2 linked regions of the Macaca mulatta genome follow. The protein of the gene in region 1 interacts with the protein of each later gene in a pairwise test. Links are inferred from orthologs where the notes say so. Each region holds a gene or a part of one and is shown on either strand. Other genes may lie near its edges.

Evidence for each region.
Region 2: the proteins of NUP62CL (region 1) and OGT interact in binary tests that used the Homo sapiens proteins (3 or more experiments, as listed by UniProt). The two-hybrid records come from large-scale screens. The link is inferred for Macaca mulatta from reciprocal best matches to the Homo sapiens genes NUP62CL and OGT.

Annotation. Positions count from the first base shown.
Region 1 is NC_133426.1:113,948,887-113,953,951, forward strand, and holds part of NUP62CL (nucleoporin-62 C-terminal-like protein), read right to left. Parts: intron 2,722-5,065; coding exon 2,571-2,721; intron 1,979-2,570; coding exon 1,929-1,978; intron 1,784-1,928; coding exon 1,649-1,783; intron 1-1,648.
Region 2 is NC_133426.1:78,015,088-78,020,798, reverse strand, and holds the start of OGT (UDP-N-acetylglucosamine--peptide N-acetylglucosaminyltransferase 110 kDa subunit), read right to left. Parts: upstream 3,769-5,711; 5' UTR 3,573-3,768; coding exon 3,536-3,572; intron 740-3,535; coding exon 559-739; intron 1-558. UniProt on the Homo sapiens protein: Catalyzes the transfer of a single N-acetylglucosamine from UDP-GlcNAc to a serine or threonine residue in cytoplasmic and nuclear proteins resulting in their modification with a beta-linked N-acetylglucosamine (O-GlcNAc).

The DNA of each region.
Region 1 (5,065 bases):
ATCTTGAATACACAAATTTGCAAAATAAAACCTCATATAAATATACTCCATCAGGCAAAAAAGATGTTTTGAGAAATGAGCTTCATGATAATCAAAGATAGACAAATCTGCTAAGTTCACTAGTTGCCTAAATTCTCAAGATTTCCACACAAACTACACACAGGCGCGCGCGCGCGCGCACACATGACCCAGTCAATAAATATGTTTATAAGAATTAAAGTGGCCAGAGGATTTTTCAACCTTAATGTGTATAAAGATTTAAAGAGTCAATTAGATTTGTAGGTAACAACTATCTACTGCCTTTCTATGGCATAGTACTTATGCCATAGAATTGGTTGCCTAGATTGTTGAAGATTCTGGTAAATATTTCATCACAATATAAATCTGGGCCGGGTGTGGTGGCTCATGACTGTAATCCCAGCACTTTGGGAGGCCGAGGAGAGTGGATTATGAAGTCAGGAGTTCGAGACCAGCCTGGCCAACATGGTGAAACCCCGTCTCTACTAAAAATACCAAAAATTAGCTGGGTGTGGTGGCACGTGCCTGTAATCCCAGCTACTCAGGAGGCTGAGGCAGAAGAATCGCTTGAACCCAGGAGGCAGAGGTTGCAGTGAGCCGAGATCGTGCCACTGCACTCCAGCCTGGGCGACAGAGCAAGACTTCATCTTGAATATATATCTGACTACAAAAGAGCAACTGGAAAGGAACTAATGTCATGAAGATTTCTTCAAACTATAGTTAGGATCTTATGGCCAAAAATGTAACTCTATATGTTTCAAAAAAATGATAGAATGCATAGAAAGCAATACAAAGAAAAGAAAAATTCACAAAGGTTGAAATACAAAAGCAGAAACTGGTTTAGGTTAATACAGATTAGTTGTACTTACCACATTTAATGCTCCTACAAAAAAGTTAACTTGCAAGCATGTTAAAAATAGGCCCAGTCTTAACTCATAATAAGTTATTGATAAAATGTGTCCAATTTAGTCTCAGTCTAGATTATGTTGTTCATTCATACAAATTCTAATACTTAATAAATTGACAGACTACCAAACCTCAGTTCCAGAGAAATAAAGTTACTTCGGAAACATTGGCACTGTACTGACAGAAGGTAAAGACTGAAGAGTTCACAAATAAAATATAGCCCTCCTAATACACTGACAAAATCACTCCATTTTTGAAAGCTATACAGTTTGCCTCCAGATTAACAAATTGCCTTTAAAATAGCAAATGATTTATCACTAAAGCAATTGCATGAACATTAGTTTTAGCAGAATCAACATAAAGAGGATACCACAAATATCCCACAATACCATGACACCACACACATAAAATTTGTACTTCTAATTTAAGAACAAATTTGACAAATACAAAACCTTTACAGTGAACATGCATAAGGTTGACAGTAATAACAATAAACAAAATGCTATAAAACAAAATTGCCAGAATGATTTCCTCATTTACAAGCATCCAGAAAAGATAAGCAGAAAACAGTCAAACAAATTGATAAATGTCAACTACAAAAGCTTGTCCCTTTCTACCGATTTGTATTCTTTGCCTTCCAATTCAACTTTTCCCCTCTGTTCCTGGAATGCTCTCATAATATGTAAGTCCTGCCCCATTCTTCAATCTTTATCCAGTTACTTACGTCTTCACACGCTCCTCATCTGCATCCTGCAGATAATGAAGTCCACTCTGGTTGCTCGTAGCCTCCTCTAAATAAGTCAACAGAAATTCTAGTTCCTGCTGCTCTGACAGGATAAAATCCAATTCTTGTTCCAACCTGAATAAAGTAAGTTAATAAAAGGGCTGATGAAAGGAATTTGGAGTGACAAAAAGAAAAGAGTTAACAAACTACAGAGGGAAAAAAAACACTGAATAAAAAGATAGGTCTTTAATCTTTCAACCAAGGAAATCTAAGGTTCTACCTTTTCTGATCCAGTTTCACTTTGTTCACTTCTCCATGTAAAATACTAATCTATAAAGAGAAATATGAATACAACAATATAAGTATTTGAATTTATATAACAATTTTAGAGCAATATTAATTTTCTCAAATACACTTCAAATATGAAAGATTTCCTTTTATTCAGGGTACTTATTACCTAAGGAATATATTTTGAACTGCTCACCAATATTGGAATAGAGAATTAACCACAGGGCTGGGTATGGTGGCTCATGCCTATAATCCCAGCACTTTGCGAGGCTAAGGCAAGAAGATCACTTGAGCCTAGGAGTTTGAGATCAGACTGGGCAATGCAGTGAGACCCTATCTCTACTGAAAAAACACACACATCATTAGCTGGGGGTGCTGGTGTGCCCCTGTGGTCCCAGCTACTTAGGAGGCTGAGGTAGGAGGATTGCTTGAGCCAGGGAGATTGAGGCTGCAGTGAGCTGTGATTGCACCACTGTGTTCCAGCCTAGGTGATACAGCAAGACCCTGTCTCAAAAAACAAAAACATAAACAAAACAACAACAACAAAGAAAACCACAAAACACAGGTCTATGTTCTTATGTTCATCTGTAAATACTTGCACAATATAGGTAGATTAATGAAAACATCTTCTTACCATCTCACCATTCTCAATCAATGTACGGTCCCAAGCATTGACCTGAGTGGCCTGGAGAAGAAAGTACTTCTCTTGATCTTCCAGCTCAAGGTTCCACTCATTTATAAGACCCTCCAGGTGACCATATGTCATCACAGGAGTTGCTACTACACTAAAACATAAAAGGATGCAGGATGATCCAATAATCATACTTTAAAAAGTGTGATCAGATTTTAAAAATGAACTCAGGAGGACTCTGAGAAGAAAACAGCATGTAAGGAGTTTCCCGTACCTGCACCCCAAGAAAACAAACATAACTGGTAAAGATGATTTAAAAAAACAACCCCTCAAAGTCACTTGAAATTATCCTAGAGGAATATAGTAAATAAAGATTTATTAAGAAACCTACTAAATCACAGCAAGAATAGCTAAAGTCTGTGCCATAATCTGCTCTTTCTCTTCCCCTCATCCCAGCTCAGCATGACAGAAGCTCCTTTCTGGGTAGGCATAGCTAAGGAGATAGGATTCTCTCTCCCCCAGCTCTTAGTCAAAGTGACCCATTCCCTGTCTGAGAAGTATCCACAAGAGAGTGGGCATTCCCCACTGGGCAGAACCATGTAGAACTCTGATTCCCCTGCCAAGTGGTATCAAAAAAGGCTCAGTAACTAGCTAATCTTTGATCCCTTGGCCAGCAGAGCCAGTCAATGCTGATTCCTCTGCTGTGGCAGTGTCAGCAGGGCTCAGTGGGAAGGTAATCATCAATTCCCTAAGTGGAAGACACAGGCACAATTCCAGTTCCTCCACCAGGGTTCTTTCTGTGGGATCCAATGACAAGTTGAACCTAAATTCCTACCCAGTAGCAACAAGGCTCAATGAGGCAGAAGAGGCAGGGTTTAGTCACCATTAGGCTTCACCTCTTGCCTCTGGTGTCAGAGAGACCCAGTGGGGAGCTGAATCTCTATACTCACCCAGCATCATTACAACTGAACAAGGTAATTCAAGTTAGGACCTGTAGGGATCCCACTTCCTACCATCCATGGGGTCAGCAATGCCCAATGAGAAGCTTGACCTCCACATCCACTGGCAAAGCCAGACTAAATGAGGTAGGGCAAAGAATGCCTAGTCAGTACTTTGTCCCCCTTCTCCCATGAGCCTGTGTCAGCTGGGCCCAGTAGAGAGCTAAGCCTTCATACGAACCAAGGAGGCTGAATGAAGTGATATGAAACAGAGTAGTTGACATCATGCTTCTTCCCTCCCCTTGTGTCAGTGGGGCCAACAGGAAGCTTAAATTCTGCCTCCACCTGCAGCAACTAAGCAGTGTGAGTCAGTCCTCCACTTCCCCTTGATCTGGGGGCTCCAGGGCCCAGCTGGGAACTGAGCTTACATCTCCACTTACTGGCAATAAAGTGGTAGCATGCAATGTTCGCCTTTCATGAGCAATGAGTCAATGAGGCTAAGCGGGAAGCAGAGTTTCCAAACCACCCATCTGCCTTGAGACAGCGTGTGAATAAGTGCTCCACTTTTGCTGGAGTGGTGTAGGTAAGGTCCAGTGGGAAGTTGAACATACAAACACACCCATCCCTTGTACTACATGTCAATAAAGAGATGCTTGATGAAAAAAAAAAAAGATGAAAATAGGACCTAGACTTTCCTAACATAATAGACAGAATGTCCAAGATAAAATTTTAAAAATTACCCATCATATCAAAACCCAGAAAACCCACTACTTGAAAGAGAAAAGACAACAGATGCCAACACTGAGAGGTATCAGATATTGGAATTATCTGAAAAGAATTTTAAAGTAACCATCAAAAAAAGGCTCAAACAAGCCATTTCAAATTTTCTTAAAACAAATGAAACAATAGAAAATCTCAGCAAATAAATAGAAATTATGAAAAACAACCAAATGAAAGATATAGAACTGAAATGTAAAATAACTGAAATAACAAGCTCACCTAAGGAGTTTGATAAGAGAATGCAGTCAACAGAGGATAGAAGAAGAAAACTTGATGACAGACAAATAGAATTTACAGAAAAACAAAGAAAAACTTTGCAGAAACAAATGAAAAAAGTCTCAAGGACTTGGAGGACAATAATAAAAGAAGTAACATTTGTATGATAAGAGTTCCAGAAAGAGAGGAAAGAGAGAATGGGACTGAAAAACATATTAAAAAAAAAAAAAAAAAGATTGAAAACTCTCAAAGTTTGTCAAAAGATATAAACCCACAGATTCAAGAAGCTGGACAAACTCCAAACAGAATAACTCAAATCCACACTAAGACACAAAATAATTAAACTTCTGAAAACTAAAGACAAAGAAAAAAAATCTTGAAAGCAACCAGAAAGAAAAAAATGCATTACTTAAAAAGGAATATCAGTTTAGATGACAGTAGATTTCTCATCTAAAACCAAGCACTGAATGAAAAAAAAGTGTCAACAATGACTTCTGTATCTGGTGAAAATGTCCTTCAGAAATGAAGGGGGAGATAAAGATATTCTCACACAAAGTCAAATCA
Region 2 (5,711 bases), about 36 Mb from region 1:
GCACGAGTCTCGTTTTCCATTTGTTAAGATTTGATGATGCACATCTTTAAGTGTCTAAATATGCCAGAATGACAATTATTAAAAGGACAAGAACACAAATTCTTCCCTTTTGATTAATTCAACTGATTAACTAAAAGCAACACACCATAACAACTTAACGAAACTTCAGGTATGCATCTCCTGCCACAGCATACATAACCACCATTTCTGAGCATTTCAGTCCCTCAAACTGACAGGTCTCATGAAAGGGAGACTGGATGCTCAGATATACATTGATAATAATTTATTACCTGAACAGAGTCTAGAAAGCAGCAGACCCAGGTAGAAAAATCTAGAAAAGGTCCCTAGTCATACTGATAATATAACCACCACCACAAAAGGAAGGAGAAAAACTGGCAGCTGGGCATGTCACAAGTGGGCAAGAGAGAGCAGATGTGCGTTGGCGGCTCAGTTGAAACCCGGTACTGGAAAAATTTCAAGTTCAAATATTTAAGTATCATTTTTCAAGCTCAGCACCCAGAGGCAGCAATCACGAGCAGGTACCCCCACATCTCCTACCTGTCCAGCCTTCGACACTGGAAGTGTATAGATGAAAGTAATAAAAGCACACCAGTATTGTCTGGCTCTTGTCTCCAGAGCTGCATGCAGTGTCTTTCAGCTGCCTCAAAATCTCCTGCCTGATATTCTCGATGTGCCAACTCAGCTAACCCTTGGAAGGAAAGCATACGTTTCGTTGGTTCTGGAGAATCATCAAAACATTTGAGGGAAGGAGGGGGGAAAACAAAAAGTTAGAAATGTAAACAAAAAAATGTAAAAATATGGTATATTTAACTTAAAAATGGAAATGCTTGAAACTATGTAAAGCACTAGAGTGTTCTGCACGTTATTTATATCTCCAAGTTAACATCAAGTGCAGAATTGACATTTTTAGAATTCACCCATTAATACTTTCCCAAACTAGAAAGGAATATTTACTTCCAAATGAGATTACATTTTATGACCAAAAATACTTTGTACTTTTAAATTATAAATCATAGGTAGCATCTAAGGATTCACCGAACATCATTCCTTATATCTTAGTTTACATACAGAAACAAAATATTAAACGTGTGATTTGCAAGGTCACAAAGACTTAATAATACCAGAATAACATATTGGAAAACTTAATATTTTGTACCATATTTCAGGTTGGATTTGTGGAAGTGGAGTACTGGTAACAATCTACCAGTCTTAACCTCAGTAAGGACACCAGATGTGTTAACTCTTTAAATTCTATCAATGTGTTTGTATATTTCACAATTTAATTCTTTAAAAGGACAAGTAGAAACGAGCCTAAGGGAAAAACCAAAAAGTCAAAGTGCTATTTTTAAAACAGCTGATAAACAAGATGTTTGTCATTTGTCAACAGCCAAAATAGTTAAAGGGGTCATCAAACATTTTAAATAAAGACCCAAGATTTTACTGCTCCTCTACCATCCCAAACTCACAAGGAGACTAAATTGGCTAAATCCCACCCACGTTGGTTTAGCACTAACATTTTCCAAAGAGCTCTGGTATTGACTAAAGGATTAAGACAGTGCAAACAAGCCTATATAAACCAGGCAGTTATCTGCAACTGCAATGGTCAAAACGTTGGGGAGGAGGGGGGATGGACGCTAAAATATAAGATATTTGATAAAGCGCAACATAACGAATAAATAAAAGCACTTTGCTGCAACTGACTTAATCCAGATACATCAAGATCTTTAAAGGATATAGCTAAAGCCCAAAGAGGGGAAAAAAACTGCTTGTCACAACTGTAAATACTTAAACTGGGAATTCGACCGTAGCACTTCACTAGCTGGTTGAAATGGGAAACCATGGACAAATTTTTTAATTCTACCAAGGTTAAGGTGACGAGTTCAAACTTGAGCCCAGCTCCCCAATCATTAGAGCTGATGAGTGTTCTCTGGATACTGAGGAAAGCAAAGTAAATTTCCTGACAGAATGCACAGCTGACCACCAACACAAAGAGCACTGAGACTGGCATCCACATCTGGGAGAGGTTATCTCTCTAATAGAAACTAAAATTACATTTTAGCTAAGTTTCTAGAACTTCCTAGCTCCTTGTTTTCACACATTACTTTGTCACTTTTCAATGCCGCTTATCTATTTTAACACTTGAAACGACAGCTTCCTCAAATAAAATAACACATTAAAAAGGGCAAGCTAGTACAGAATCTCAAACCTTTGAAAATCACGGTGGAGAAGTGGGGAGAGGGGCACGGACTAATTATTAATCCCACTCCCTACGATTACGGATAAGATGCTATGGACGATTCACCTACTACTTACAGCACAACTTCCAGAAACAGGAACTAAAACCCTCCACACATCTCAACTGAGAAACAACCAAAAAATAACCTCGCGGGAAACCTCAGAAGCGCAGCCCAATTCCCCACCCCCTTCCGCCCAAATCGACTCAATATGGAAAGGCAGCTGAAGGACACTCCTATAATTTGGTTGTTTTCGTATTTTTAGTACCAAATGCTCGCGACTGAATTGTCTAAAAGGGCAACCGCCTTGTACTTGTGCAGCTACACTCCAGTTGCTTTACAAACTCTTCAAGCAGGGATGGAAACTTAAAAAAATATTACACCCTATGAATAAAGAGATGCTGGGCTAAAGAATGGGGATGGCAGACCCAGAGGCGGCGGCGGAGGAATACATCGAGAAAGTAACACAAAGCGAGAATTGGGCGGGCAGGGTGGTCAACGCCAAAGCAGCAGCGTCGGGGTGGTTTCTCCCCCAAGGATAGGAAGTGAACAGTAGGGCTGGCAACCTCGCGAAGGGAAGGGTGTGGTTCCCCGAGGACAGGGTGGGAAATCCAGGCTGAGGGCAGCGGTGGAATTGAGCGATGGCAAAGGAAACCCCTGGAAATTTCCAATCTAAACCGGGACCGCTCAACCGAAAGAACACCAGAAAGGCACTGCCTAGCGGGGTGCTGCTCAACGTCCCCTCTTCTCGAGGTGACTTGTGGCACCATCGACGAGCTTTTGCTCGTCCTCGGGTGATGCAAAGTGAGGATACGATTACATCGGAACGGCACCCCCGCCCTAGATTGGCAGAGAAGGACCAAATCTGGCTAAGGGGAAAAGGCTGGAGGGGGAGACGGAGGGAAAAAAGGAGAGGTGAAGAGCTGGAATTAGGGGAGAAAACCGCTGCAAAGGAGTGAAAGGGCAGGGATTCCAATGCAGTCCATTCCACGACATTCTAAGCGCGCACGTGTGATAGAAGCGCCCAGAGAGAGTGGAAAGCTACAACATTTACGAAATAAAAACAAAGCAAGAAAGGGAGCAAAAAGCAAGCAAAGCAGGAGGAGGAAATGTTCGGGAAGCGGACGACAGCGGAAAACCCGATCTACCACGAGAAGCTCAGCAATGTCACTGATGTAATGGGGATGGTTCGAGGTAAGGGAGGGAAGGAGTGATACAAGGTAGAGGACGGCGCGAGACCCCAAGGGGGCATCTGCCAAGGTAGAACGGGACACCGGTACCTGTGCTGTCGGCCACGTTGCCCACGGAAGACGCCATCTGGAGCTTCTCGAGGGAGAGCAAAAAAAAGGTAACTGGTCCTGCTGCCGCCACTACCGGCAAGAACGTATTTGGAGGTAGTAGTACAAGGGCAGCAGCCGTAGCAATGCTCTGGAGGGCTTCAGCGGCGGCAGCAGTTACAGGCTTCGAACCCTGGGAACTCTAGTTGGCCATCTACCTAGTACGGTCTTGAAATGGCGGCGACGGCTCCTCGGCCGAAACAACACGGGCCGGAACTACTTTCTGTTACAATCAAGTGCCCGCGCGGAGGTAGCCGCGGTAACCAGCGCCGCCAACAAAATGACTTCAAGCTGCAAAGTCGAGATTCCATGTAGCCCTCCGCGCAGCGCCCATTGCGACAAACACCACGGTGGAGACGGCGCATGCGAGCAGCCCTGTCAACCCGACTCGCGGTTAGGGCACTCTCCCGGGCGGAAGCGGCTAAGTTTCTTAAGAGTGTAGCGGAAGGGTAAAAACAAACAAACACACACACGGGGAGAATACATTTTTGCCACGGCGATAAAGAAGAGTCTGTTTGTTACTTAGCAGGTGGTGTCGTTTTAAACATAAACGCCAAAGGCGTCTAAAAAAGTTTGTCAACTTTATTCGTACAAAAACGGATGGTTACGACTCTCACGGATCAATTCCGATCCAGTCAATTCAGAAGATTGCCTCGCAAAGACAGCTGCTCCAAACTAGGAGCGAGAGGGTTCCTATTGAAGCCGTCTTCATTGTGACTCGGCCATCGATTTCGGCACTTCGATGAAAAAGACTGAAACTTTCACGGGGCCAGTTGAATGGAGACACCTCCAATGTTGACCGTATAGCCCGAAATTTCAAAATCGTTTTGGTATTCAGAAGACTCCTGCCCACAGTGATAGGGCAAATGCTTAATAACTCAGGGACATGCCGGGGGTTTGCACTCCGAAGGCAGCCATAAAAATGTTAAAGGTGATTCATGTTCGTCAAAATTCATGACTCTCCTCCGAGTTGTGACTTCATTTCAACCAACTAGCTCTGCGGATTGTCACAATCGGCGATTCCACTGAGCTCAAAGCAGATCAACAATGATAAATGAATTCACTTGCCATCTGCCTAAAACCACACGTCTAGATTTAGTCATGAATTGCCTCCACTTCCTTGAACAAATGGGTTCTTATGATCCTCCTGCAGTTTCAAGTCTACTGTTCAGACATTTTGTCACATTGGCATTTATACCTCACGTCTTGTTCTAGAAACGATTTAAGGTAACTTGCCACATCAGCAAGAAATTATTACAAGCCACTGGAGGCTACAAGTTGGATCTCTGAGAGCCTTTTTATTTCAAAAAGTCCTTGATCTAGGAAAGCAGGTCAATGAATTTCTTCAAAAAGTTTTTGCTAGGGGGGAGGGATAGCATTAGGAGATATACCTAATGTAAATGACAAGTTAATGGGTGCAGCACACCAACATGGCACATGTATACATATGTAACAAACCTGCACGTTGTGCACATGTACCCTAGAACTTAAAGTATAATAAAAAAGAAAAAAAAAGTTTTTGCTACCTAGCCCCTTCACTACATTGTTTGATAAACTAAATCCTCAAATTCTGCTTAAATTTCTTCAAAACAGTCAACAAACAATTAATTATGGAAATAAGCACAGAGAAAATTCATAATGCTAATTTCTTCCATCCCATAATCAAGAGTCACATCATGCAGTGAAAAAGACAAACATCACTACACAAACTCCCTTGAAAATTGGGCACCAACCTCTTGTAATTTGATTTAACTGGTAAAACCTCCCCCGCTCACACACACACCTACTACAAGTTCCCAATCTGTGATGAATAAACTCAGCTTTTTAACTTTTAGGAAAAGACTTCGCCGATTCCACTGGCAGATGTTTAGGCCTTGCTGATGAGCGGGTGCTAATTAACTAAAACTCTTTTTGTTGTTAAATGCAGGTCATGCTCGTACTTCTTCAGTCAATAAGTAACATTACTAGAGTCTCTATGTGCAAGGCACTGTGGGCGGCACAAAAATGAACAAAACAAATCCTCGCCCTCAAGGAACCTGAAGCCTAGTTAAGTATACACAAAAAGCTACTAGAGAGCAATACAGAAGACTATTTAGATGATAAAATATATTACTCTCTA